Mytilus edulis: one gene and its partner. The protein of the gene in region 2 interacts with the protein of the main gene of each other region in a pairwise test. Links are inferred from orthologs where the notes say so. Each region holds a gene or a part of one and is shown on either strand. Other genes may lie near its edges. The genes, in order: TAR DNA-binding protein 43-like and 5'-3' exoribonuclease 2-like.

Region 1 (15,975 bases), on a different chromosome or scaffold from region 2:
CAAAATCATCTACATTTTAAATACCAATATTTAAAAAAAAAAATATTACCTCCCCTTCCCAGAAGATTTGTTGCATTTAGTGTCATTATAAATAGATTTAAAATCACTAGCTTGAAAACAACGTTTTTCATTAAAGTGTAGCTATCTCAGTTCAGCAACTGTCATATGCATGTAAAAGATGAATCCTGTGTTATTTTCATGCTACTAGTGTTGGCCATTCTTTCTTAATAATATCATGACTATTAATTTATCTAATCAGGCTAATATGAATGCATTTTATTATCAGAGTACTCTGCAATAAACTATTTTTCACAAAACCTATCAGGAATCAGATTCTCTAATTGTTTTGGTTCTACATTGTACCTTGGACTTTAAAATTCTTACAAAAAGTGCTCAAAATTTGCTGTCTTCCGAATAGTATTTGCAGATGAAATAAGTCAGATAACTTTTCGCAAGAAGACTTCTGATGTGCAATGTAAGCACAGTCCTTTAATTTTTCAAATTTCAAATGAAAATCTACATTGAATAAATTTTATATGATAGTAGCATTTTTTTCTTACATGTTGTTAAAGGGAGATAATAAAGATTTTCCAAATTAATACAAAGTAGGAAATTTCTTGACGCAATCAAGTTTTTCCTTTTTTTTTTTATATGAACACTACAAGTAAACAAATAAAGTTCTAAATGCTTTATTGATACATTATTTATGTTGAATTCTTAGTTTGGATTTTGTTACAGATGGTTACTTAGATATAGTTATCAAGTTATCAAACAAAACCAACTGAAATAGACGTGACCAATTTCAATAGAATTAATATTTGTTGATTAAATATATCTTGATTAAAACACCAGTATTTAGATATACATTTCCACATATTTAACTCACAGCATGCCATTATTAAACTTTATCATTCCTAGAAATAAGCACAGAACCATCACACCAGTGTAAGTGCATGTATGTGTTACCTTGGAGTTTGGTATTCTAACATCACACCAGTGTCAGTGCATGTATGTGTTACCTTACAGTTTGGTATTCTAACATCACACCAGTGTCAGTGCATGTATGTGTTACCTTAGAGTTTGGTATTCTACATGTAACATCACACCAGTGTCAGTGCATGTATGTGTTACCTTAGAGTTTGGTATTCTAACATCACACCAGTGTCAGTGCATGTATGTGTTACCTTAGAGTTTGGTATTCTAACATCACACCATCTTCCATCAATCATGTGCCTCTGTGTCATACATTTAACTTGGGATTCATAGTCGCCAAACCGAATGAAACCAAAACCTTTAGATAGTCCACTTTTAGGATCTTTCTTCACCTGAATTGAAAATAAAATATAGATAGATTAATACAATGAATTGTAAAATATATAATGAATTTTGATTTCTGTTTTAGGGGGAAGCTTACACATTATTTGCATCTGTTATGTTCCACATACACATAAATGTCTAAATATTTTGGAAATTTAAGTACCGTTATACAGTGTAAGTTTTTTGCTGTCTGCCGCCTGAAGAGGAATATATGACAGATTTCTAATGCTTTAAAAACACAGAAAGATCAAGAGTTATCTCCCTTGTTACAATAACTCTATTATCTCCCTTGTTCAAAGAAGCTTTATCATTGTGGAAATGAACTCAACTGCATCAAACTTTTTGACATAACCAAAAAGATGTTTTACTAGACAAGTCAATAATGGTATTCATGTGTACATACTATGATACATGTACTACAAAACTTAACTTTCACGGAATAACTTGTTCATGCTTTTTAATGTTTTGATATCATAAACACAAGTATAATCTCTCATTATGCTCATACCGGTAATAATATAATTAAATAATAAAATCTATACAGAACATGTTATTTATCAAATATAGTAAAGTTTGTCCTACTAGCATGTAAATATACAAGGAACGGAACGAAAAACAAAGCTCTCCAAGCGTTTCTGTTGTTTTATACAATGTAGCTAGTGTACAATTTTTAATATTTTCAGACAATAAACATACATGTACATGACATACAATGTATATATCTGTATATTATTTTATCCTGAATTAAGGTAGCACAATACAAAGATTTTTTTACTTCCAATCACTAACCTTTGAAATGCTGTAACTTTCTTATGAATGCATAGAAAATAATAAAAGAGGTATACATAGATAGATAAAAGATTAATCTTTTAAATGAATGCAATATTTTTATTATGCAATCATTATGTCATCAATTATTATGTAATTAGTGGCAAAATCTGGGTAAGTTCACTTGAATGAATTTAGCTCTATCATCTCTTTAACTATACAGAAAATTTTAACGAAATCTTAATCAACACATCATGGGCTTCAAAAGGGTGTCTCAGATTGTCTCTATGGTATTCCATTCTCTCATAAATCTCTAATTAGTGTAAACATCCTAACCACATAAATGAAGATAATGTTTAAGTAGGTGTAAAATTTGTTCTATACATTCTATCTGAAATCTGAGACACCCTTTTGTAGATAATGGCCATAGGAACAACATATAATAAAATCAACCCTCTAGGGATACCTATGCAGAAGCTAATTTCATTTGAAAGTGGAAATTTGGTGAAAAATATTTAAGACACAGTTAACATTATAATTGGTTACATAATTGTTGCATGATACTAACATTGCATTAATTTGAAAGAGTAATCTGTTAGCTATCCAAAACTACCACTTTTATAAATTTTCAAGCATTATTAAGAAAGTTACAGCATTTTGAAACTTGGGAGTTGGAGTTATAAAATCTTTGTATTGTGCTACCTTAAACTTTTACACTTGATTATTTTAGAAGATCTACAAATGTATACATTTGTTAGTATGCAAAGTGAAACCTGCAGATTGGTTTAATTTGTAATTTCATATTTGCGACATGTACATGTACAAATATAAGGATTAAATGCTTGAGATCAGCTGTGTTTGTTCTCGATGCTGTCATCAATTGGTCCTTTAATTTACGATTCATTTAACAAAAAATGTTCTCCATCACATCATTCATTCACTTGCTAGACACAAAAAGCTGCAATCATACATGTAATATACATTAAGATAATTGTTTATAATTGACAGGAAAACCTAACTAGTATTCTGTTCTGAATATAAGTTTTAAACACTTAATGTACAAACCTGGACCATTAACAGTTCCCCAAAATTTGAAAAATATTTTCTCAGGTCTTCTTCTGTACTTTTCCATGGTAATCCTAGGACAATAAGGTCACTGCATCTCTTTTTGTCATACATTTTCTTCCTGTTAATGACAGCATTGTCTGCATTGATTGGTTCCTGGTCCACAGCTGTTGCATGAGGTTTCTTTTTGTTTTCAGCTGAAAATACATGAAAATATTTACTTGCAATTTTACCTTGAAACATTACCCCTACAGATATCTATGAAAAGTGTTGCAGTTACTATTTGCATACATTGTACATAGAGCATAATAATCCCGGCCATGTCACAGAGAATTGACATGGCAGAAAAATACAGTAACCTCTGAGTCTCTGCATTGATCTCAGTCATGTCAAACACTTCAAAGTTCAATCTTTTTAAAACTTTATATCGGTTTAGTTGGCCTGTAGTCAGAGATCATTTTTAAAGACCCAAATGCAACTTAACAAGCCTAGGCTGCTGGGCCAGTGGTTAGGTGTAAAGACTGTGGAGACATCTTAGTTTTTCAGGAAAATGCAAAATTTGAACAGTGATTAGATTTTTACAAATAACAAGACTTTTGTATAATAATAAAATGAGGATCAATGCTTTTATCACCTTACACATGTTAAAATATGACAAAACTATAAGCTACATTGTTTTTGTAACATATTCGAAACATATACACTGAAATGTTGTTTATATAAATCATGTTAATATACATGTGTATCATATTCTTTAAATCTTTTTCTACTATAATCATATCTCTAATTATCTGGTAATAACATGTACATGTATATATGTACTTCGAGATTCCGCCAGTGTAGACGCACCCCTTGAATGACTACAAGGGTACAGCGGATCCATGTACACTCCCTAAGGATTAATGGAGATGTGTCCTTTTAGATTACATTATTAACCCACCACCAGAACAATCTCCACCCCAACACCACCCAAGGGAGCTTGTAGGTCACCTAAAAGTCTGTTATTATGGTGGAGGAAGCTGAAGTATTTGGAGAGAACCACAGGGCTTCTCTGCAGCAACAGACAACCTGAAGAGATTTCAGAAGATTGATCTCCAGGTCAAGCTGGGAACAACTTTGACCTACCGAGGCCCCCCCCCCCCAAGTATCCAATCTAGTTTAAACTCCGGTCTGGAATGGATACCAGAGATGTGTGTGGGAGGGTAAAAATCACCCTACTAATGTACTGAAAATTCAACATCTCGAACCCACAAAACAGTATTAAAATTTATTATACATTTGTTATGTACATTGTACATGTAGTATATAATAATAATTATAAAATATAATCTATAATAACTAGTGGCAGTCAACATGGTCAAGACACATTTCTGATATAATAATCTGCAGTCTAATGGGGGTCTCATTGGGGGGTTCCGATCCCGGATCCCGCTTACTGTTTTGTCAGATTCCCGTATCCCGCTTACACTATGTACATAAGCAATTCTCATTTTTTTGTCATTTCCCGTGTCCCGCAAGACCTAATTTCCCGTTTTCACGCCACAATTATTTGACTTTCACGTGTCACGCTTACAAAAAATCGGCAATCCCGGGTCACGCTTAGACCCCAATGAGACCCACTCTAATATCCACCTTCATACCTGAATATAAATTATTAAAATATAAATGTATACATGGTATGCACCAGTGACCTTGTGTGTATTGAAAGCAACTTTTGCAGTGTTTAAATAATGATGAATAAACTGTCAAGAAATTATGATGTAAAAGTGTACACTTCTAAGAAGCAGCTACATGTACATGTTAACACTAAATATCTGCCTTTAACCTAAATTAAATACAGATATTTCAACATTTACATGAGTGTGTAACTTTTTACTTCTTAAATTACTTTTTTAAGTGTCTTCAATATGTTCATGATGTTATGTTGTCATGTTATGATTTTAAAGCTTAACTAAAATAAGGGATTCTGGAGTCACCTTTATACTAAGTTAGCTCAGGAAGTATTCATATCAAAATATTGAATAAATAAATAGACCAGAAACAAAAATCCCACAGAGATATAGACTGAAATATTTAAAAGCAAAACGTCAACAATACGGTTATCTCCCTTAGCTGTCAAACACAAAGTTTTCAACGACCTTCAATATTTTATTAAAAGTAGCATATAAATTGATACTGTAGCCAAAAATACCTATGCAGTTATGTACAATAATGATTACTGCATCATACTGCATACTTAACTAATCAAAATTCTGTGAAAAATTCGAAAAATTAAATGATTTTGTCGAAGCGTCTGCTTGATGTTCGGAGGCCAACTGGGTTCCAGTTTGTAAACAATATTTGAAAACACTTACATTTAGGAAACACGGCAACATAAATCCGGTTTGCCCATTCCGTATCAGGTGGATATAATCTCCCGTCTGAAAGTCTTATGCCTCGCATAGCACCGGTATCGGGATTTCTGTATTTTAAACCACAGGCACCAGGAAACTGAGCTGACAGGGTAGACAGCAAGAGAGTTCCGTCGTCTTCGCTCGGGACTTCCATAGGCTCTTCGCCCTCCTCCTCTGCGACTTGAATATACTGACTCATTTCCCTTATAAATTAGACACACTTTCGGAGCATTGAGAATCAAAAATGTCTCTAATTTTGGGGTAACCCACTGTGGTCCCGAACTGAAGGTGCGCGGCGTACCAAGATGGCGTCTTCTGTTGACAATTTAAGCGATACTAGCGCCATCTTTTAGTGACCTAAAAAATTTAATTTTCATTTTAGAGTTGTCGTTCTTTTATCTTCAATCGGTTGTCGCTGGAATCTTTTAGAAATTTTTCTATAGTTCTATCTAAAGATTCCTTCTCAATCTGTGACTTTCAGATCTTTTAATGAATACTTGATTAGTGCAGATGTTGACAATTTGTGGTTAACATTTTTAATAACATAAAAGATATTGACAGTAATGCTTTGTTCTTGCAAATCAGTGAATAGGGGGAGGGTATGGCATAAACATGCGCATATCCAATACAAATTCTTTTGGTTTGCGTCCTGTTTTAATTTCTTATTGGACAGTCGATTTTAATTTTTCTTGCATATAAGTCTTTTCATTGAGATATAAGTTATTTGCTATTTAATTAGTACTTAATTGATTTTACAGAGTTTAAATGTAAAACCTCATTGAACTCTTTATGATACTAGATTACATTAGGGTACTCAAATTGCACCTTATTTTGACATTTTTGCACCTACATTTTTTTATTTAAAGTCCACAAAAAAGTTTCCAATCTGATTTTTTATTATTATTATTATTTGGTAGACATATCCTTATTTACTTTATATTACACCAGTCACCATTTTAATAACATGTTTAAATTTTGAATCTATATATATATATATATATACAACTCGTCTAAACATCAACCCAACAATGTTAGATCTGTAAATTTGCTTTCGCAAATTTTTGGTTCTTCCCTCGCCGGGATTCGAACCCATGCTACTGTGATATCGTGACACCAAATCGCCTGCACTGCAGCCGTCCCGCTAGACCACACGACCACCTGGGCTCTCAAAAAAAAGAGCTTTCGGTGGGCATGTGTTACCTTTCCACGTCAGTTTTAATCTAGCGGCGTACTACAGTACATGATATATATATATCAGTCTAAAGATTTGCACAACCGTACTGATATAAGATGTTATAATACGAAAATGTTGTTATTAAATCGTGCTGACAAATATTTCGGCTCAACAAATGGCCTTCTTCAAGTGTCACAAGTTTTAACAATACTGATACATAATGTATAAGGTGTAAAAATAATATATATATATGATCTGGGAACAGTATATCTATATGTTCCTGATATGATATATTGAACTCGAGATATTGAATCGTAGCAAAACTAGTTTGAATCGACCTACAACATAAGCGATCAATGATTCTGTGACGAAGATCTAGAGTACCTAAATTGCATCCATGCTTAAATTCACACCAATTAAAATCGAATAAAAGATGTTTTGTCATTTTTCTTCATATATTTAGAACAATTTGACATTAGTCCAGGCTTAATATTTATTTTTCTGGAAATAGATGCTTGGAAAATATTGTATTTGCTCATTCTTAAAAGATGACTTTGTGAACATCGCATTTTCCAGTAAATGCTTCATCTGTTGATACTGTAGTGTACATATATACTGTGAACATTTTGTGTATATTTACATATACATGTATGTAAAAATGTATGTACCTATGGTTAAAGACGTGTACATGCATAATGTCAAATCATAAAAAATACAAACTGTTTCTCTCAAAGAAAACTTGTTATGAAAACATTGAAACTCTGGCTAGAAATATGTGTTATGAGATGCACTTGCTGCGCACAAAAAGGATTAAAAAAAACTTGATCACAAGTACAGTATAAGTAAATTTTTTAAAATAAAATAGTTCCTTACTTATAGTATATCATCTTAATATTTTATGACTTCTGCTTCTGCTTCTGCTTCTGTCAGATAATGGCCACATTTAACGAACTGATTATACTGCCATGGTTTGGTGCGCATATTAGACCACCCCTCCCCCAAAAATTTTGAAATTTAATTCAGCTTTGTCATCGAGGCTTTAAAGGCCTCGACTGACGGAGCTGATACGACCCCAGGGGGAAGAGCGTTCCAATCCCGGATGGTTCTTCGGAAGAATGAGTGTTTCCTATAATCACATGATGCTGCTGGTACTTGGAAGGATTTGTCATGCATGTTTCGTGATAGTCTTTTCAGTGGTATTAGACGACCTTCCTTTGATATGGCCACTTTGTTGTTTTCTATTTTGAATAGCATTGTGAGTCTCGCTTCTTTCCTTCTTTGTTCAAGTGATGTCCATTTGAGATGTTGTAGCATCAGATTAACGCTGGAGTGGTTATGATGTTTGTTGGATACGTAGCGAGCTGCTCTTCTTTGTACCATCTCAAGTCTGTCAGTCTCTGTCTTGAGATATATGGATCCCATACCGGACTGGCATATTCTACAATTGGACGTACCAATGTTTTATATGCATTCTCCTTCACTGTAGTTGATCCTATATTTAAATTTCTTTTTAGGAAACCAATTGTTCGCGCCTCCGTTGAAATTCTGCAAACACCCCATAGAGCAAATTACATGGATGATTAATTTTGACCATTTGGTATATGGCCATGTTCTTAGCGACACGTACATGAAGGTTATACATTAATTTCTTGAATGAAATCAAATCTTTAGCTACTAATGACTGCCGTAGGGGGTCGACCGGAATTTTTAGCGAGGATTTCTTGGCATGATTTGCCTTGTTTCAAATGTTATTCACATGTTCATTCCATCTGAGATCGGATGTAAACATGGTAAATGTGCAGCCTAGGTATTTTGCACTACTGACTGACTCAATAATTTGACCATGTAGGCTGTATGAAGTTGCAATTGTGTTGTTTTTCCTGCTGATGGTAAGTACATTGCATTTGTCAGGGTGGAATGACATTTTCCATTTTGATTCCCATGTTCCAAGTTTGTCCAGATCTAGCTGTAAATCATGTGCATCTTTGTCTGATGATATCGTGAGGTATGCTATTGTGTTTTCTGCAAATAGTCGGACTGTAGATTTAATTCCATCTGCCATGTCGTTAATGTAGACCAGGAATAATGAAGGCCCAAGTACTGAGCCTTGGGGTACTCCTGACTCTACATCAATACGAGATGAACTTTCTCCATCCACAACTACTGTCTACTTGGGTTCTATTAGACAGGAAACTAGTGATCCACTTATTTACATTTCCTCGGATACCATAGTGTTCCAGCTAATGCATCAGGAGACTGTGACCAACCTTATCAAAGGCTTTCGAAAAGTCCATAATGAGAACATCCGTTTGCTTTCATGCGCTCATGTTTTTTGTGATGTCATCCACAAATTCAATCAGCTTGGTTTCGCATGATCTTTTGCTACGAAATCCGTGTTGTAATGGATAAAGAATGTTGTGGATATCTGCATGTTTCATAATATGACTAGTTATTATGTGTTCCATGAGTTTATAGCAGATGCATGTCAGAGATATTGGTCGATAATTCTCTGCCTTGTATCTCTCTCCTTTCTTGAAGACTGGACTTACGTTGGCGTTCTTCCAGTCAGATGGTACCTCCCCAGTATTAAAGTGATGTTGTAAAGATGATAGTTAGAATTTGGGCTATCTCGGTTGCAAGTTCTTTTAGTATTCTTGGTTTTAGATTGTCTGGTCCTGAAGCTTTATTTGGATAAATAAATTATGACTTATAAGTATTTAAAAATATATCTTCTCTTTTTAAAAATTGCAAGATATCAGTTATAATTTCAAAAATAATGATAAGATCTCCATATAGTAAATCAAACTGGGAAGAAAATTTATGTATATATTATAGCTTTAATTTTTTCCAAACCCCAACCATTTTACATAAATCTTATAAAATGACATTTTCATTATAGATCCTGATATATGTATAGCACTCTTAACTAATAATTATAAGTAAGTTTAATACGAGACCATTTTAATTCTTATTTGTAAATATATGCAGTTGTTACTTAACGTTTTCTTACACCCCAGCACATATGAATTTAATATATTTTTTTTAAACTTTATGATGACAACCCTATGAATTAATTATGATATTTATTATTTAGTGATTATTATAACCAAATTCAGTCATCTGTATATAATTAAATGTTTCCTTATGTTTTAAGGTGTACATAGTTGCTAAAACTATACCTTTTGGGTAGTGCTCCACAATTAATGAAGGAATATACAAGCAACTGAACTGAACTGAACTGTTAGACAAATGTAGGATTTCCGCAGCTATTTTTTGTTGACTAGGTGCAATAAGTGTACTCGATGCACTTGAGTACTTTGACGTTAGACCAGTAGTGTCATATAGATATAAATTTGTAAATATAAAAAAAGAAGATGTGGTATGATTGCCAATGAGAACCTAGCTTTAGCCACGATCGCACTACGATCTCTAAAAAATGCAAATTTTGACGATCGTAGTGCGATAATGTAGATCGCAGTAAGGTCGTGTTACGGTCATGGTGAGGTCTTTATCCTCTTTATGATCGTGATGATCGTGGCCAACTTTGAACATGTTCAAAACAATCGTGGTGAAATCGGGTTGTAGTAGAAGCGTAGCGAGAGCGCAGTAAGGTGGTAGTAAGATCGCAATGGTCGCTGTACCATCGTGATGGGAGCGTAGCGAAAGCGCGATTCTAATCAGAGAGATGATTGCGCTACGATCTCACAGCGATGTGACGACGACCTCAATACGACCATCAAGTTCTCCCCGCGACCCAACAACGCTTCTACTACTACGACTATACCACGCATATACTACTACTACGACTATACCACGTATATACTACGCTGTTCAAGACCATAGTACGGTTTTAGCACGCTCATGCCGTCCTCATCCGCAATGCTCGTCTTACGACCTGACTACGTTCATACTACGAACGTTTCCAGTTCTAGCCATGCTCATAGTCATTTTCACTTAAACTATATAACAGCTATCCATGTTTTGTTTGTCTGTTATGTAATTTGGACCTTATGTCTCTAATTTTCAACAGCTCATTCAATCATTCTTGACACATCTGTATCATTCCCACTAATGTTCAATACAATATCGTCATTTGATCTTGAATGATGGATCAGCAATACGTTGTGATTCAGGTCTCGATTGGTTGATCCGACATCTCTATTGGATCATGGTTCGTATGAGAGGCCCCTTTGACTCCACCACTACCCCTACCACCACGCCCACTACTCCTTGTAGATGTTGGTGGCATGCTCGTGTGGTTTTCAATAATTTTACGTATTAATGACAATTGGAAGGAATGGAACAGTATTTATATGGAACATATTGCTAATAGCGTAGTTGGATCGCGGTATGAACGTGGTAAGATCGTAGAATGATCGTGGTAAGAGCGTAATATAATCGCAGAAGAAGCGTGGTAAGATCATGTTATAATCGGATAAATCGTGGTATGGTCGCTGTGAGAACGTGATGAGCGTAGTAAGATCGTGATAATCGTAGTGAGGTCGCAGAATGAACATGGTTAGAACATGTAGAACGGGGTATAATCGTATCGGGCTCGTTGAAGAAGCGTAATGAGGACGAAGTAGCATCGTGAAAACAACGAAAATCTACATTTTCATGCCGCTCATACCGCGACCTCACTACGATCTGAATTTATTTTTGATCGCGGTGAACGTGGTGCGATCGTGGTTTAGTGTGACTGGGACATAATTAAGAGGAACAAAAAAGGAAAACAACGCGAATTGATACAAAATAATGGGCATGCAAGATTTAACATAGAAGTACATCTGTCTGCACGTTGAAAGATGAATAAAATTCATGGAGACATTTTTTTCTTCTTCATATTTTGTAAATAAAGCTAAAAAAAATAGTTAAAAGACAAAATTTGAAATAAATATCCTCGCTATTCCTGGGAAAACTTTGAAATACTGAATTTTTGCATTTTTTTTTTAAATTTGACCTTTTGGTGACCTTTCTGCACTTTAACTTTAAGTAAATTTGAGAGGTCAACAATAGCATAATCATAACAGAGTTGGGGTAATTGTAATTGTAATCATTAATCAGCTGTTATTGATTACAATTTTTCAAGTAATCATTGTAATCATTAATCAGCCCTAAATCTGATTACATGTAATTTAATTTAATCAATTACTTTTCAAAATACCCTGTAATCCTGATTACTTTTTGATTACATTCTGATTACAATGCAAAAAATCTAAAACTGTGTTTGATAAATTAACCTTGTAGGTATTCAAATTAAATGATTATTTAACATGTTGAAATAGTTTTGTCTTCTTTAAGCATGTTAATTGATTTGTATAATTCAGTAAAAACTAAGCTCTCGCAGTGTTGAAAAGTCATCATTAGCCTTAGCAGAAACATATATGTCTCTGACCCTAATACAAGATATTGTACATATATTCACAATTTAAAGATGTACATAAATACATTTGATAGTTATTGTTATATTCAAGTGATATTTTTCATTAACCCTGAATTATAATCTTTTGTAAATATTGTGATTTTTGTCAACTTTGAATTGACAGGTAGGAGATCAATTAAGGTTTGTTTTTATTGCAATTATCAACTCTATTGTGTATAGCTGTAGGGCAATATATATGATAAAAGATAATTATACATTTGGAAATTTATCTAATTAGCACAAACCAAATTAAAATGTTGTTTAAAATAAATAGAGTAAGTAAGTAAGTAAGTAAGTAAGTAAGTAAATTATTTATTATAGTGACATGTGTAAATATGTACAGATTATAAATATACAATATATGATAAATATTAATACACCCGGCCCAATGGACCTGTAAGTCACCTCAAATGAAATTAAGTAATTTTAAAACAATATATCACGTTCTTCAAAATAACAAATTATAATTCATGAAATTATCTTTTTGTTGACGAAAGTTAACCTTTAATTAATTTTAAAATAAAAATATATAGATATTAAGCTATTTGTAAACAAAATTTCGTCTATTAGAATATGCCTGTACAATGTATTTGGCTAGTTTTCGAGTATGGCTAATATTTAAAAAAATAAGTTTTTCATTAATGTTCATAGAAACAAAGGAAGTCGTTAACAAAAGTTCACCAAAAACATGTTCTCGTATATCAGAATAGAATGTACAGTCTAGTAAAAAATGAGTTTCAGTTTCTGACACGTCTGCAGTGCAAAATTTGCAAAGTCTTTCTTCTGGTCTTTCACCTATATATCTATACATCTATAATAGATGTTAGTATGTATTTGGACTGGACATGAAAAATGCAATGATTTTTAGTACTCATAATTTGTTTACAATTTGACTAAATAATCATATTAAAATTTTGACTTGGTAGCTTTATTTCATCTATATTTTAACTTCCATAAACTCATCTTGAAATACATATAAAGTCTGGAAGAGGAAAGTAAACAAACAGCTAACTCTTTATAAACCTTTATTTAATTTAAGTCGACATAATTCAGAGATCAATGATGATAAAGTGTAATTAGTCATAACCAATATGACCAGTGACACAATTTTCGTGTATATATGTCAGTGTATGTAGTGAACTTTTGAGATTTATTAAATAGATGAAATTTTAAGTTATAATTCATTAACCTCATTCAAAATGTTTTTTTAATTCATTGTAATCAGATGTAATCATGATTACTTTGCAAATGTAATCATTAATTTAATCGGATACTTACAGAAATGATGTAATCATTGATTTAATTTAATCGTACAAATGACAAAGTAATTGTAATTTAATCAATTACATTGAAAGTAATCGGACCCATCTCTGAATCATAAGTACCATATTGGTTCATAATTTTGATAAAATCGTACTAGAATGCCTACAAAATGTTCATTTAATGGATATAAGAGACCTATTTTATCAAACATAGCGTATTTTTAACCTTTTATCTATTTCTATTTTTAGTAACAGCCCTGCCTTCATAATGTAAATCCTTGAACTTTTTGTTTTTTTTTCCTTCTGAAATCATTACATGACTAAACATTCCTTGTAACAGAATATGAAGAAGATCGTGTAACCTTGGTTCTGGATGACTTTGCATGGATTTATCTATGACAGGCACTTCATAATCTATACTATTAAACGAGAAGACCTTATTTTGTGTATCGCTTCTCTTCCTTCCACAATAAATTAATCACCATAACTCTGTGTTCTATAGGTAACATGTATAGTCGCATTTGTCATTCATTCTTATGATTATTCAGATTGAGTTATTTTGGGAGAAAAACGACAAAATAGGTTTCCGGATATTGACGGTTTCCGTCATCAGACTGACTTTTAGTCATGGAAAAGACTTTAAGAACATACACAAAAACAACCAATCGTACATACAGATTACAAAAATGAAAAATAAATAAGCCAATCAGAGCGTTCTCCATATCATGGTTTTAAGGTCGCAAGAAACACAACTATTATACCTCTTTAGAGACAATTATTTTTCGCGTTTATCCACATGTAAACTGCGATTATACTACTATAGTATTTAGAGACTCTCTGTATTTTGTCTACTGTTTTCTTTTAGATATTTATTATCTAAGGGGTCATACCAGTTGCTTAATTATATATTGAATAAGGGGCAGCAACCATTTGATTTTCTGGGGGGGGGGGGGGGGGGGCGGGGGACAGCTATGGAATTTTTTTTTCGGACAAAACAATTTTTTTCTCAGGGTCAAAAACAGATTATTTTTTTCTCCAAAAACTAGAAACAAACGTTTTTTTCCAAAAAATATCCATACCCCCCCCCCCCCCCCCCCCGAAAATCAAATGGTTGCTGCCTAAGTTAAACATGTGTGACACAAGAATGTGTTCATAGTATACGGATGCAACATCGGCACTATCATTTTCTATGTTCAGTGGACCGTGAAAGATCATATCATAGGAAACATATTTACTAAGTTTCGAGTTGATTGGACTTCAACTTCATCAAAAACTACTTCGACAAAACTTTAACCTGAAAAGGGACAGCCGGACGGACGGACGAACGAACGAACGGACGCACAGACTAGAAAACATAATGCCCATAAATGGGGCATACAAAATTATTGTTGAAAGTGAAAGTAGTAATTTGGCCAAAATGAAAATAGGGTAGAGATTAGAGGGAGGCGGGACTTTTTCGGGACATCGGGATCGGGATTTCGGGATTGATCCTTACGGGATCCGGGAATATTTTTCCGAATTTCCGGATGCCGGGATATGAATTTCGTTAAAATACGCACCGCGGGGTTTCATGTTTTTAAGCCCGGGATCTTGGGATCAGGGCCCCTCCGACCACCCCTCAAATTAGCCTTAGTCATGTATGCAAGATTCAAATCCTACCATTGGCATGTTGATATGGCTCTCAAAAGGAGAAGCACTGATAAATTGTCCTAGAAGCATATTTTAATACAATAATAATGGTCTATAAGCAGTTTCATTTATTTCATGTTTGAAGCGGTGCAAATTTTTAATTTAATTTGACTTTTACCAAAAAATGCATTGTAGCAAAGGGGAGGAATAATTGTGGTATAAGGCCAGAAACACGAAAATAATTGAATTAAACAGAAAGGGAACAAATAACGGACTTTTGAAAAAAGGACGGAGGGCTTTTAATATCTTATATGAAATTCTCCAGACATCATATCGTTTACAAAAATTCATTCTACAACAGTTTACAAGCTATATATGCCCGCGATTTCGCGGGTGTGTTCTAGTATTATTTAAATTAATAAATAATTATAATCTACCTTATTTACCAGAGTTAACCTCTGAAAGAATGCGCGCAAATGTAATAAAAAGCTGTGCGCAAACATGCTAATTTTTTTTCTCGCAAAATGTAATGGTAATGTGCGCAAGTGCAATGCACCGGTTTCACTGTAAACGATAGAGAAAACGAAACTTTTATGGATGGTACAATTAAATTTTGACCGAAATTCTTTAATTAGCTCCCTTAATTACTCGTGGTCAAAATTGGAAATTACCAATATGTTCCTCTTGTGGTTATTTTGTTGCATTAATAGTCCGAGGAACTGTACCATCATAGTTTATCTAAGGTAGTTTCAATTTATGAAGACCGAAATTTGATTTGTAAACCACCCGCTGTTACACCTGTTGAATTTTAGAAAGAGTCATGGTTGTTATAAGGATTTCACTTCCATCAACTCTCATGGAGTGGTGTCGTTTACAACTGACAAAAGTATGATTAGAAAAGGTTGATACTTTTAGCTGTGTATAAATGTATAAATGTTTTGTGTT
Region 2 (16,494 bases):
ATGATAATAAAAAGCTTACTGTGCTATAATATAAATCTACATACATGTGTATGCTATTCATATTTGTATAACAAATAAATAATGGTTAACAACATAAAATTAGTTGATTTTTCATATTTGTAACTGCTGTGAATCTGATGATTGTGAAATTTGATCTCTCACGATTTTTGTTTTTTGTATCTTTGGTTTCCTGTCTCTACATCTACATACCATGCCTACATCTCTTTTTATTCATATCAAAACCTGATATTTATATTGTATACAGTTCTAAATTCTAAATATGCATTCTCTTACACAGCTGACTGCTACAGTTTTTGAAACATTACAATGTACTTACTTGTCTTCTGGGTGACAACATGGATGGATAATACCATTCATATCCAGGTACAAATTGTCAAACTCATAATCATTGGGGTTAGGTTGACTCGTGTCCACAGGAATTGTTTCATCTCCAACTTCTTTTGGCTTAAATGATAATAATAAAGAATAACTTTCTAATTACATGTATTATAGTAGAATTCAAGCTATAACATTGACTATCCAGTTGCAAGGTTTATATCAATAATAGAAGATCTGGTATGATAGTAAATGAAACAACCCTTTACCACAAATGATGTTGAAGGTCAGCAACTACATGTATGTCTCCATAGGTCATACAGAAAAAAATGAAATAAATTTGTACCAAATATCCTTCTAGATGCAAGCTTGTGATCTTAAACAAGCTTCTATCCAAGTTTGGTACAAATCAATGATAGTTTAAGAAAGTTATTAAAATTTCAAAAACTTTAAACACAGAAATAACAAGTGAAACTGCGAGCTACTGCTCACTGATGATACCCCTGCCGCAAGTGGATAATATTAATAGTGTAAAAATATGCAAGTGTTCAGTAAACAGGAAGTTGTCGAGTGATGAATCTGAAAACGCATCACACGGTATAGCTGACTTATATAAATCCTGAAACCAAATTTCAGAAATCCTTGTATTGTAGTTCCTGAGAAAAATGTGACGAAAATTTTCAACTTGGCTATCATGTGTAAAATCAGACAAGTGTTCAGTAAACAGGAAGTTGTCAAGTGATGAATCTGAAAACGCATCACACGGTATGGCTGACATATATAAATGTTGATACCAAATTACAGAAAGGGTGGATGTGTAGTTCCTGAGAAAAATGTGACGAAAGTTTCATGGGACGGACTGACTGACGGACGGACTGACGGACTGACAGACAGAGGTAAAACAGTATACCCCCCTTTTTTTAAAGCGGGGGTATAATAATATTTGTGGATTACCCCAACACTAAAGAAATGTAGGATAGCTATGTCTCGCATTTGCAAAAGTCTTAACAGACATCTTTCAATTCTGAATGTAAACTGGAAAAACAGATGTATCAAATTTATTGTAAACTACAAAATAAATTCTGAATTACACAAAGAATTATCCTCAGCTGCAGTTAATACTCCATGAATTTACTTTTAAACTTGTTAAGTAATTCAATATTATCGATAATTGATGTACTCATGTTGTTGGCATGAAATTATATTCTCTTTATGTCTTATTTTGAACTCGTTTAAAAAGACTGATGCCAGTGGTCTAAGTCAATAATAAAGCATGTGTTTGCCTTCTCAATTTTTTTCGTTGTAACTGGGTTTAAATTATTTTTTAATTCTAAATTTATCATTTTTATATAAGCAATCGCTGAAACATATTTAGATAATGCAATTAATTTGAAAATTAAGTTGAATAATTAGAAAACCATGATTGTTGTTTTAAATTGCTTTGGTGTAAATACTGAGGAATATAAGGATATGTGTCGTAATGCACTTTTAATAAACTCTGACAATATAAAGTCGACACTCCAGAATATAGAAGCCGAGTCTCAGGATGAAATGGATTCATGTGTGAACGATTTTACCCATCAGTTCATTGACATTATGGCGCCATTTTTTCAACAAAGTCAGAAAAGTGGTACTGAAATGAAACGAAATCATAAGCAGCACTATAAGCATATTGATAAGCCTTGGTTTGATATACAGTGTAAAGAACTTTATGTTAATTACTGCAAAACTTTATCTATATTTAATGGAAATAAATCAAAGAAAAACCATATTGAATTAAATCGTGTGAAGAAGACATATAAAGACTATGAACGTAAACGTAGACGTATATATATGCGACAAGAAGGTGATACCCTTTGTAAATTAAGGAAGAACAATCCTAAGAAATTTTATTCTGTATTCAAAAAAAGGAGAAAGGTCAACTGTGATCTAACAGTAACTGATTTTTTTATATATTTCAAAACTCTAGTATCTGATAGTAAAGAGCACAACAGAAGACCAGAAATGCCAGATAATGTGTGTATTTTTGAAGAACTGGATATGGATATAACCATTGATGAACTTATTAAAGCTATACATGACTTAAAACGCGAGAAAAGCAATGGTCCAGATGGTTTGTTAAACGAATTTTTCATTGAGTTTAAGGACCTTGTGCTGCCTTATATATGTACTATTTTCAATGCCGTTTTGAGCTCTGGATATTTTCCGTCCACTTGGTCTGATGCTATTCTAGTGCCAGTTTTTAAATCCGGGGATGCGAACGACCCAGCAAATTACCGTGGTATAAGTCTAGTCAGCAATCTAGGTAAACTATTCACTACTATTTTGAATAGTAGATTATTAAAATGGGCATCAATGAACGATATTTTATCTGATGCACAATTTGGTTTTCGTAATGGTTACAGTACAGTAGATGCTGTGTTTTGTTTATATTCTGTCATACAAAATTCTTTTTGTAAAGGTAATAGATTATATTGTTGCTTTGTTGACTTTTTAAAAGCGTTTGATACAGTTGATCGTCTATGTTTGTGGTACAAGATTTCTAAATTAGGAATCAGAGGCAAATTGCTTAATATTTTAAAATCAATGTATAACAATGTAAGATCTTGTATTAGATTTGATGGGTTTAATTCAAAATACTTTTCTAATAATCTTGGCTTAATGCAAGGGGAAGTTCTTTCCCCTATTTTATTTTCATTTTATGTCAATGACTTTGAGAATGAATTTATTAATAATGGTAACTGTGGACTTGAATTTCAGGACATAACACTTTTTTTATTAATGTATGCTGATGATATGATTTTGATGTCAGAATCAATCCAAGGCTTACAAAATATGTTAAATACTTTATCTGGTTATACTGAGAAATGGGGTCTTTCAGTTAACACAAAAAAAACAAAGATAGTAGTTTTTCGTAAAGGTGGGAAAATTAGTCTTACTGAGACATGGATTTATAATGGTAAACCATTAGATATTGTAGATCATTTTTGTTATCTGGGTGTGTTATTTCATTATAATTGTAAATTTTATATTACTCAAAACCACTGTGCTGAACAAGGCAGGAAAGCTATGTTTAGTATGAGGAAAAAGGCATTATCCTTATACCTGAACACTGTTACTTCTATAAGTTTATTTGACACTTATGTATGTAGTATTTTAATGTATGGTTGTGAAGTTTGGGGTGTTCATAGAGCACCAAATGTAGAAAAAGTTCATTTGGACTATTGCAAAACATTACTAGGTGTCAAGAGGTCCACTTCTAATGTAATGGTTTATTATGAATTAGGAAGATTTCCATTGTTATATGAGCGAAATTTTAGGATGCTCAAATTATGGACTAAAATTCACGGTAGTGAAAATTGTATTATAAAGTCTTGTTACAAAGAACTAGTAGCAAATAGCAATAAATGTAAAAATTGGGCAACTTGTATTAAAACAATTTTATATGATCTTGGTATGAATTATTATTGGGACAACCAATGGGTACTTTGTTTGGATAGTTCATTTTTACAATTAACCAAACAACGAATATATGATCAAGCTAAACAAGAGTTGCATTTCATGCTTGAAACATCACCAAAGTGTAGATTATATAAGTATATTGTGTCAAATGTAGAATTACAATTTTATTTACAAAAATGTATTCCTGTAATAGCTCGTAAATGGATAATGAGAATTCGCCTATCCTCACATAATCTATGCATTGAAACTGGTCGTTTTTATGGAATAAGTAGAAATAGTAGAATGTGTATTATGTGTGATAAAAATGTAGTAGAGGATGAATTTCATTTTATTTTACAATGTACAAATTATAATGATATACGTAAAAAGTTTATCAAGAAATATTATTGGACTAGACCATCAACTTATAAATTAATACAATTGTTTTCTGTTGAAAACACTAAGGAACTCTGTAATTTAGGAAAGTACTTACTCTATGCATTTAAGTGCAGGAATAATATTTAAGACCTATGTTTATTATATGTAGTCTGAAACTCACAAACTGTATAATATGTAACTGATATTTCTGACGTTTGTTATTTATGTGCATGTTAATGCTATACAACTTGTAAACTGTATATTTATGCATATTATACCGTTAAACTGTATTGTTTAAGGTAAATAAAGAATTGGAATTGAAATGAAATACTGAATGTATTTATAGCTTGGTATGAGTAAAACATTGAAGATTTTAAATGAAAAACACAAAAGATAATTGTTTTTAACAGCTTGGTCCCTTTGATCTGAAACAATGAAACAATAAAATATAGCAATACACTATGATAACCATTATTATTCAACACAAAAAAAATCAAAGAGCTGATAGCGCTTAGGTGGAAGAAGGTGAATAAAAGGTAACTTGAATTACCATAACAGCAGCCCCACTAACCCAGCCTGCTTTGTTCCATTATCGTTGTGACATATTTTTTTTCTTCAAACCAGAATGTGCCATAAGTACATGGATTTCCCATCTGTACAATCATTTTCTGTTCAGTGGACCATGAAAATTAGGTAAAATCTTTAATTTGGCAGAAAAATTATAAAGATCATATCATATATATGTCAAATCAGCACCTAGTCAAATTGGCACCTGGTTAAATCAGCACCTGATGTAGTAATTTTGGCACCCATGTTAAATATGTCTAATATATATTATATATATCAATTAATATATATTTGTTGGCAATATTCTAAGCAAAACGATTAAAATAAAGAAGGGGTTGTGCCAAAATATTGATGAATTTACATTTTAAGGCAGTTTTTGTATGCCATTTTTTCGGTCTAACTAATGTGAGTGTATTAAAAGTGTAAGATATTTTTTATGCATGTTTCATCCAGTTGAGCATATTCTGCATGATTGTTGGTTTCATGCTGTTTAAACTTTCCTGCAAAACGACCTTAGAATTGTGTATAATTTTTCGATAATTAGTAATACTAATGAAAAGTGCTCATGGTTTTCACTATCACTTCTGACTTTCTGATAAAACAACATCTTGTGTAATGGCTACATTGTTTTTTGAAGAAAAAAACCATCAATAACTACTTGTATATATATATAGAGTTACAGCTCTTTTAATAATGCTAGCAAGACATTGACTCTTTAATCATGTTAATCAACAAAGACTTGTAATTTTTGTATAGGTATTCGTGAAATTATTCTTAAAATTTATTAATTGAAAAGAAAACTAATCAAAACAGTCCGAGTCATAAATAGAATGTTGAGAAAACCCTAAGAATAATAAACGTATTTACACTTTTGGTATTTAGATGTATTTTGCCTCCGAATGACCTTATATCACCTCTGAATAACCCTTTGACATCAAGCTACAATCACTTTTTAGTTATGACGTCAAATGTGTTGAATTATGATGTCAAAGTTTACGGGAACCTGTGTGATTATATGTAATGGCGGACAAATTTGCATACAAGTGTAATATGTCTATTAGAATTAGAAAGATCATTTAGACATTTTTCGAATAGTTTATATATACAAATGTAGTTTATATCAAATATAATTGGATGCCAAATTGACTTTAAATAGGTGCCAATTTGACTAGATGCTGATTTAACCAGATGCCAATTCGACTTTTTCTATGGGTGCCGAATTGACCGGGTGCTGATTTGACTTGCACCCCCCCCCCCCCCCCCCTCCCCCGGATTCATGCACCATCATTAAAAATGGTAATTATGACTAATGGGGGTCCCTGAATATGTAAAATGCTTTTTTTGTGCAATGTAAATTGGTACGGAAATTAAGAGATACATATATGAATCCGACTCTGTATTGAGAGAAAATGAGATAATTTAGTTTTTTTTCCAGTCAGACAAAAAATACCATGCCCATGGAGATTTTTTTGAAAGAATGCACCCAAATTGAAAATCTGTATTACCTTTTCTTCTACACAATGGAGTAGAATTGATGGATACTTTTTACTTAACCAGCGAAAAAATGCCGGTACTCCCATTTTTTCGGCTGAATTTAAATTTCCACGCTGGTTTGTTATTTATCGGCCTTGACCTTTCAATATTTCCGCAATTATTTTAAGAAAGACCTTTTCTGATTAGTCATTACACAGAATTATATCCAATAAAAACGTCTGTCTCAATATTTACGATTTTGTTTACAAAATGTCGAATGCAATCTTGAAAGAACTGTGTAGTTCTTTAAAATTAGAGCGGGACAGGGGATATCAAAATTTTGTCGCTCATCTTCAATCTCTCGACGAAGAAGGAATTTATAATCTTCAGTTCGATCTGTCAAAATTACTAAATGACAATGAATTATCTTGGGAATCTAAACATGGAGGTCTTATGGGTGCAAAAGCAGTTTTGGAAAACGGAAACGTTTCAGATGATTTTGAAATTGAAATTAAAAGAAAATGCATGGACCATCTAGATGACAATGAATTCCGAGTAAGAATTGCTGCAGGTATGATCATGACATAAAATCAGTGACAATGTATCATATGACTTGTGATAAATGTCTTGTGGTGTACAGGTGGTAAACGGAAAAAGTCGCAGGAAAAAAAGTCGCAGAAAAAAAAAGTCACAATATATTTTTGAGTAAAATTATCAGAAATTTATGTTGAAATGCACATGAAATAGTCACTATGTACATGTATGCGATAAATAATTAAACTGGAGTTTTTATATGCATAGTAAAGAGTCATAATATACTTCATTTTTGTACTTGTATGAGATCAATTATCTATATTTTTTAAACGAACTTTTTAACAAACACGAAAAGGTCATTTTTCCCTTTATTTAATAATGGTCCCAAGTTGTATTTCATTGGTATGGCTTCTTAACTATACAGGAATTGAAAGGACTACAAAAAGGGAAAGGTGCCACAAGAAGCCACTAATCAATATCAGCAGTCCCTATCCGGTCTCACTAATTAGCGACAACAAGAATTTTAGCGACAACAAGCGTCAACAAGCGACAAGAAGCGACAACAAGAATTATTTTAGCGACAACAAGCGACAAGAAAACATTTTTTTTTAATTAAAATTAATTATTGCAATAAATATTAAAAGAATATGCAAAAGTAAATAATTTTAGCGACAAGAAAGTTAAAATTGATAGAAAAAAATGAAACATTACTTACATAATATTTTATCATCTATTATGAATAACAGCCAGTATTACGTTTAATTATTGTATTATGAGATTACTTCTCCTTGTGTTTTAGAACATATTATTTATCTTATAATTTGTTTTTTAAAACTCTTTTCGTGCAATATATATTAAGCTCGCAAAATTAATTATTTGTGCATCATTGTCCTGAAAATATTGACACAAATTGTGAAATACAAAGAACTGAAATCAAACAGGAGGAAAAGAAAATTGAAATGTGTATTGCCTCATTAAACGATATTTATCATGTTTATGCATATTGATTGAAGATGAAAGGAATTAATGACAATCTTGAGTTTTCAACAGGTTTTCAACAGGTGTTCACTATTTACAATGATTGTATATTCTGGCGCGTGTAATTGTTTAGTCTGACGCGTGTACAAAGTTGAAGCAGAGACATATATACACATATATGTCTCTGGTTGAAGGTGTTAATTGGATGTTATTGTAGCAATAAAACAGGGGACACGCAACTCGTTAATCTCATTTGATGTTCCACATTGTGTGTACTGTTATTACCTTAGAATGAAGCCACATCTAATGTTGTTCCTTTAAGCAAATGAATCAAAATATTATATTCCATTATGCCCGCTCCATATATATCTCCATTCGTTTATTCATACTTTGACTTTGATGAAAACAGATACATACATTATCTTATACATATTCTTCATATTTAAAAATAAAAAAAAGAAGCTCAATCTCTTTCTTCTTCACAAATGTTAAATTTCTTCATCTACCAATATACTAATATAAACTTCACAATCTCTTTCTTCCTCACAAATGTTTCATTTCTTCGTCTATCTATATAATAAAACATTTTAATTAGACATATTTGCTCGTACATTGTATATTTAAAAAAACCCATTAAATACAAATTTCTTTATATCTAATAAAAAAAAAAATGTTTTCTTGTCGCTAAATAGTCTTCTTGTCGCTTGTTGTCGCTAAAATAATTCTTGTTGACGCTTTTTGTCGCTTCTTGACGCTTGTTGTCGCTAATTAGTGAGACCCGTCCCTATCAATAAATGTTGTAAATACTAAACTATTGGTAAACTGTATTAGTAATAACTATTCTTGTACAACACAGCTTTACCTCCAAAACCATGTCTCAGTTTTCCAACAACATCAATAGAACAAATTTTATACCCTAGCTATTGAATTAAGTGATCTCTTATAATGAATTGATGTTGCAAACTTCATTGAAGATTTATGAGAGAATGAAATACAATAGTAAAAATCTGAGACACGGTTTTTGAGGTCAAACTGTGTTGTGCAAGAATCTATAAAATATTTTGGGATGCTATGAATAACAAATAAGTTAAATTCATTCAAGTATGGACATCACAATATAGCAACTAATTACATAACAATTAATTATCAATTTATGTAATAATTATGTCAGAATAAAATTATCACATTTTGAAAGATTAATCCTTCTTCCATTGTCTTCTTTCTTTTGGTACAAATGAACCTCATTTATAAAATTTAAAGAAGGGAGAGTGGAATTACATCAGTTTAAAGATGTCTGATTGGGGATGAAAAATCTTTGTTTTGTGCTACATTAATTATAAAGGGCCCACAAAGAGCAAAGTAAAATATTGCAATGATTTGATAATTGACAAATATGTTTTTATAAATCATATGTAAATGTAAATATAATCATCTCAATTTTAAGATGTTAAACCACATCCAGATCAGATCAGAGCCACACACTTATAAGTAAAAAGCCATGACAATTATATCTAAAATTAACAGGCAGTTATTCTCATATACAAATATATGTACATTGCCGGAAAAATATAAAATTTATTCGTATGAGCTTTAGAAACAGGACAAAAAATTTATATTTTCCGACAATGTACTTATATTGTTTTTATCCTCAAACTTACTCCCAACACTTGAAGCTTTAGTTATTAAAATATAAATTGTGGTCTCTAATTTTTCAAAGAAATCAACATAGTGTAAACGGGGACAGTGAAGAGGGCCCCAAAATGAACTGGTATGGAAAATGAAATATCCACATTACCACTTGCTCAACATGGAAGTTGGGTAACAGGAGACTTTATTTGTACAACCTGTTTGTCTACCTGTTATTTGTACAATACAAGGCTGATTGCAGGATAAAACAGGTTACATAAAAACATAATTTGTACTACATGTACATGTTTATTGAAAGAAGCAAATATGCAAAAAGATATAAATCCTGACCAAAACATATCTGCTTGGTCTTGTCCCTACTTGCAAGATAAAGGCTTTTTTTTCTTGGTATAAATTTTCTCATGGGTATTGGGTATTGGCAGTGTCTGACACTGTATATATATCATTTTGTGAAATCTACTAGTCAAGACAGATCATACACATGTAAAAAATGTAGGTTAACTCCGTTCACCAGAAGACTTTAGGAAACAAGATAAGGTGTCACATATGCTGGGCTGGGGTACATGTAGCTAATTGTACACTGGAAAAAAGGTTTCAAAATAGGGTTGTGTTGAATGTAGAAAACACCTTTGTCTACATGTACCTCATTGCTTCACTGTCTTCCACTCAGACAAAAATTACACTTCTTTAAATTGACAGTTACTCGGTTAAATTTTTATACGACCGCAAAAATTGAAAATTTTTTGGTCGTATATTGGTATCACGTTGGCGTCGTCGTCTGCGTCGTGGTCGTCGTCCGAATACTTTTAGTTTTCGCACTCTAACTTTATTAAAAGTGAATAGAAATCTATGAAATTTTAACACAAGGTTTATGACCACAAAAGGAAGGTTGGGATTGATTTTGGGAGTTTTGGTCGCAACATTTTAGGAATAAGTGGCCAAAAAGGGCCCAAATAAGCATTTTCTTTTGACACAAGGTTTATGACCACAAAAGGAAGGTTAATGTTAAGTTTATGTAACAGTTGTATAAAGCTTTATATTTAGGATTATCAACATTATATCAATGATTAGTAAAGAAGGCAAGACATTTCAGTGTGTGCACTCTTGTTTGTAAAAAAGAGGGGAGTTTTCACATGTTGCATCATATCTTACAAACCATTAATGACTATCGCTTTAAACTTTACACACTTCTATATTATATTAATCTTTAGATCTGTATATTTGTTAGTGATGATTCGAAATATTTTTTACAGTTACTGAGTTTTTTGTAAAAAAAGTTTTTTTGTACATGTTGCACCGTATTTCAGAAACTATTTATGATTATTGCATAACACTTCTCACACAAGATAAAGGACATATCATGCGCTCATGGCGCAGCTGTTAATTACAAATTGTGACATTGATGAAGAGTTGTCCCATTGGCAGTCATACATGTACCTCCTTTTCTAAAATCTATTTGAATAGATCCCCTTGGTTAAATACATATTACCGGTAATACAATATAAATTCATTGTTTCTATTAATTGTTTTAAGTTCTTTATTGAAATAGTCTTGTCAACTGTGTTATGAAAATGATTCTATATATCTTACACATGTACATGTTGTTTTCATGATCGATATATTTGTTATTATTTATTTAAGGTGAAGTACTTGGTGCTTTATGTAAAAAGATTGGTCCAGAAATTTATGGAGATGTAAAAGATCAAATTCTGAATGGAATTCGCTCTAATTTAGAACGAGAAATGCCAACTGGCGATGAACATCAAAATGATGATGATGTGGAAAAACTTGTGGAAAAACTGAGTAGTTCACCTGGAGGGGAAAAGGTGAAATATTTACCTCAACTTTCAATCTAACATGTATATTTTGACCTTTGAGTATATTTTATACTTTATGACTGGTCTATGATCATAGGAGGGCATTATGTTTTAAAGTGTGTGCCTCTTTTTATCTGTCAGTCCTGTATAAGGTTAAGTTTTTGTTTAACATGTTTAATGCAGTATACATAAAGTTCTGGTCCTATCATCTTGAAAGTTTGTACCGGTACCCATGTTTTATAGATGTGAACTTTTGGAAATATATATGCCAAATTAGATTTTTTACTCTGATTCTGAGGTTCACTGAACATCTAAATTTGATGTGGATGCAAAACATAGTTTCTGATTGACACATACAGTTTTGTATCATTTGTTATTTGTTTATCTTAAGGATGTACTTAGGTGAGGTTTTGGAATAAGTGTCAAATGTTCGAACTTCTTGGTGTTTTTCCATACAATAGAAGCTAAAATATATTGCCCCATAACACCTATTTATCTTTTAAGATAAGACTTAGTAGCTCATAAAAAAGTCATTTGACAAAATTTAAGTAGATTCCTGATTTTCATTATTTTGATTTGAGACCCAAATAATACTGATGCAAATATAAAGTAAAAACTCAGACTCAGCCTTTTCCTGCCTTATTTTATAAATCAAATATCTCGAAAAGGAGCTCCATGACCTATCAATATTTTTAGCTTATTTTGATTCTTAACTTATACTCTTCCAGCTTAAAGTATCAATTTTGATTTCTTAATTTATCTAATTTTACCTAAGATCATCCTTTAAAGTCTTAACAATGTCTTCATCAGGTATCAATATGTTGTATACATAAAAAAAATACTATTTGATTTTCTACATGTCTCACAATAAGCATGATCAGTTTGCTTAAACCAAATTTCATTATAATTTTTAGATAATTGGGGTTGAATTTTTAATGATATTTATCATTTGATGTGGGTTTTTTTTTTTAAATTGTTAAAAAAAATTAATATTATTATCAAAGTTTATGACATCTCATTGAATATTGTAGGTGAAAAGGGCAATTTTGTGTTAGCTTTGTGTTGAGGTGCACCATGCAGTGTTTATTCAGTTGTTATAATAAGCATACAAATAAATTACAAAATTTATTTAAGGGTCATGTTATTTATTACAATAGTTCAATCTTTTTGGTTGTACACCAATCTATATCTATATGGTTTTCATGGTTTCAGGACATACTTACATTTGTAAGTAAAATTCCCTGCTTTTATCTATGTTTATCGGTGAAGATCACATGAACTTGCCGTGGTCCTAAAATCTTTTATATCGTTGATAGAACATAAAGCCAAGCAATCAGTTCAGTTTCTTGTATATTCCTCCATTAATTGTGGAGCACTACACAAAGGGTATATTTTTAGCAACTATATACACCTTAAAACATAAGGAAATATTTAATTATATACAGATGACTGAATTTGGTTATAATAATCACTAAATAATGAGTATCATAATTAATTCATAAGATTGCCATCATAAATTGAAAAAATAAAATAATAATAATAGTTCATAATGTGCTGAGGTGTAAGAGATTGTTAAGTTAACAACTGCATTTACAAATAAGAGTTTAAGTGGTCTCAAATTAATCTTTCTTATAATTATTAGTTAAAAGTGCTAAAAATGAAGGCTGACTAAGCTGATTTAACATATTGCTAGAATTGAAGCAAGAAATATGTTTACAGACAATGTTTTGCATATGTTATACATTGTGTATGTATTTTTGTTCTACAAATATAACATTTTGTTTAAAAATAATTTGCACTACATTGAATATATTCTATATAGTACATACAAAAACATACTTAAATCATCAATCATTTATCATTAGAAATGTTTAAATGTTAAAATTGTGTGTTGAATATTCATTGGCATAAATTATGATCAATTTAAACCTTTTTTATAGAGAATAAATGTAGATGCAGCACAGATATTTCACGACACTGCAGGATGGAAGTCTTTAGAGACATGGATGAAGTAAGTGTTTGTGTACAATTAAACCTGGTAAAACCAAACACCATAGGTATGAAGATTTCTTCCCAATTGAATCATATGTTAATATATATATACTTGTAATCTGTTTGTTGCAGACCACCCTTATGTATTCAATTAATCTAAAAACCTTACAACCTGGTACTGCAAAAATCTTGTCTGTTAAATATTTATATTTGGCTTTAGTGTTAAAAGATTAATCTGGTTTTTGTCGAGCCTGCAACTTTTGTTGCAGAAAGCTCGACATAGGGATAGTGATCCGGCGGCAGCGTTAGCTCACTTCTTAAAAGCTTTATATTTTAGAAGGTGGAAGACCTGGAGGCTTCATACTTTGTATATAGATGCTTCATGTTACGAAGTTTCCGTCAGTCACATGTCCAATGTCCTTGACCTCATTTTCATGGTTCAGTGACCACTTGAAAAAAAAAGTTCAAATTTTTTGTAATGTTGAATTCTCTCTTATTATAAGTAATAGGATAACTATATTTGATATGTGCGTACCTTGCAAGGTCCTAATGTCTGTCAGACAGTTTTCACTTGACCTTGACCTAATTTCATGGATCAGTGAACAAGGTTAAGTTTTGGTGGTCACATCCATATCTCAGATACTATAAGCAATAGGGCTACTATATTTGTTGTATGAAATGATTGTTAGGTGCAGCAGGCAGATGTCATGTGACCTTGACCTCATTTTTATGGTTCAGTGGTCAAAGTTAAGTTTTTGAGTTTTGGTCTTTTTATCTAATACTATATGCCATAGGTCAACTATATTTGGTGTATGGAAATATTTTATGATCTTTATGTCAGTTGTGCAGGTTTTTCCTCATTTTCACGGTTCATTACACAGTGTTAAGTTTTTGTGTTTTGGTCTATTTTTCTTAAACTTTTAGTAATGGGTCAACTATACAGGGATGGGCACGATTACTGACAAATGTAATCGATTATTAATCGATTACATGAAGGATTTTTGTGTAATCGATTAATAATCGATTACTCAGATTTTTGTATGTAATCGATTGCAATCGATTACTTTATTAAAAGTAATTACATTACTTTTCGATTACTGTCACTTACATGCTAAAAAATTTTTTTTTTAAATTTATAAAGTAAGTTTAAACACAATTATGTTGCTCAACGTTTGTATAGTGGAAATTTAGAACTTTACCAAATGCAGCATTTAAAGCATTGTTTTCAAAATATAAGTTGACAGTTGTTTTGTAGATGGAATCTCTTACTTAGGATCAGAAATATTAAAAAAAATCTTGACATTTTGAATTTCAACATGAATGAGAGATGACATCACGTTGCATCAATCAATTATACATAAAAAAAATTGCTTTCGTACTGACTTACAAAATGTAAGTTAGCTTTTTTGTTTTTATGCATTAAAATAGGTATATTTTAACATAGGCAATTACAATGTTGAAAGTTTTCTATGGAAAAAAAATATAAAAAAGTAGAATAATTAATTTGTTCAGCTAATTTTAAAGATCAAAATTTATAATTATATTCAATTAATCCTTTTGTTTGGATAACCACCCTATTTACAGGTTATAAAACTGCCAATGGAGTACAATATATAACCTGGGGCAAAATAATGTAAATCTCTTTCCTAATTAGACATAATTGAAATGAAAACAAAGTCTGTATAAAATTGATTAGAAGACTTTGATCATCTGATTAGTGAAGACGAGCAGTTTGTTCAGATTTTTGTATTCTTTAATCAAATTATAAACAATATATATTTATAGTGTCAAATGGGATACATGTATCTGTTTCTGAAAAGAATTTCAATGGATAGCCATTGGTTCATTGTCAAAGGGATTTTGTGTACTTTGTTAATTTTTATATATATCATAACTTTATAAGGAATCAACTGTTTGTCTATTTTGAGCTTAAATCCCAACTCTTAATGAAAATTGTGTTTTAAGGAATTTTAATACAAATGAACTTACTACTCTAATGCTGTACAGAACTCTTATTAAAAATTATGCTTTAATAAATTTTAATACAAATAAGCTTACTACTTTAATGTTGAACAGAACTTAACTTAAGACATATTTCTTATTTTAAATCTATTTTCTTATTTCAAATCTATATTCTTATTCTATATATAAAAGGTCTTGAATTATTGAAAAGCACATACATCCATTTGTTTCAAAAGCTAGTTATAAAGTAAAATTGGGTAGGGGATCTGGTTGATCATAATGCAGGATGAGACAATAGATAGAAATTAAAGACAGTTGATAAACTCTTAAGTCATATTAATACATTCTGTTTTATCTGTACTACAAAGTGATGAATACATACATATTTTCATTAAAAAAAGGCTATATTTCATGAAACTATTTTACTAAAGTAATCGAAATGTAATCGAAAAGTAATCGATAATTACATCATAATTTTTGCTGTAATCGATTAAATTACGATTACATGTAATCGAAAATGTCTTCGATTACAGATTACTGTCGATTACTTGCAAAAATGTAATCAATTACAATCGATTACGATTACAGATTACGATTACCCCATCCCTGCAACTATATATGTTGTATAGAAGCAAGCAGTGTTAGCTGTACATGTCTGCCTGGCATGGTTCATCTGACCTTGACCTCATTTTCAAGGTTCATTGGTCTTTTTTTAGTTATCTTGGTTAATGTTAAGTTTATGTGACAGTTGTAATAAAACTTAGCTTTATACTTAGGACTATCAACAAAATATCAATGATTAGTATAGAAGGCCAGACATTTCAGCGTGTGCACTCTTGTTAGTCTACCAATACTACCATTGGAACTACCAATTTCATGTATTTGATTGTTGCATCTAAAACAAATGACACATTGGAATTTCCAATCTTTTTAGCACTGAAGGCTGTTCCTCAAAACATTGTGCAAAACAGGTCCAGACACAATATTGGTATAGTTATGATAGAAATGGAGAAAGTTACAGTATCTCTCCTTGTAATATACTTACATATAAAAATAAGGAGATGTGGTATGATTGCCAATGAGACAACTATCCACTAGAGTTCAAATGATGAATACTATATTTGATTGGGTCAGAAACCTTCTTGTGGAAGTTTTCTTACTGAAAAAAAAAGTTATGGATATCTTATTTTACCAGAGACATTTATCCTTTATAATTTACATGTAGAATCACAATAAGCTATCAGTATATGTACACTACAGAGATCTATTCATCCTAAACTTATAGTTTATCATTCTTTAAATAAGAAAGGGGTTTATTGGCTTTGAGAATTCTCTAAATGGTCTTTCTACTTATGTTTTTTTTATTTAT

What was found.
Region 1: the proteins of 5'-3' exoribonuclease 2-like (region 2) and TAR DNA-binding protein 43-like interact in binary tests that used the Homo sapiens proteins (3 or more experiments, as listed by UniProt). The link is inferred for Mytilus edulis from reciprocal best matches to the Homo sapiens genes XRN2 and TARDBP.

What each region holds. Positions count from the first base shown.
Region 1 is NC_092356.1:48,442,656-48,458,630, forward strand, and holds the start of TAR DNA-binding protein 43-like, read right to left. Parts: upstream 5,898-15,975; 5' UTR 5,743-5,897; coding exon 5,505-5,742; intron 3,348-5,504; coding exon 3,151-3,347; intron 1,326-3,150; coding exon 1,185-1,325; intron 1-1,184. Other genes in the region: uncharacterized protein, read right to left, coding at 7,732-8,139. UniProt on the Homo sapiens protein: RNA-binding protein that is involved in various steps of RNA biogenesis and processing.
Region 2 is NC_092346.1:72,925,241-72,941,734, forward strand, and holds the start of 5'-3' exoribonuclease 2-like, read right to left. Parts: upstream 6,388-16,494; 5' UTR 6,303-6,387; coding exon 6,228-6,302; intron 466-6,227; coding exon 338-465; intron 1-337. Other genes in the region: uncharacterized protein, read left to right, coding at 6,466-6,766, 10,996-11,180, 13,112-13,182. UniProt on the Homo sapiens protein: Possesses 5'->3' exoribonuclease activity. May promote the termination of transcription by RNA polymerase II.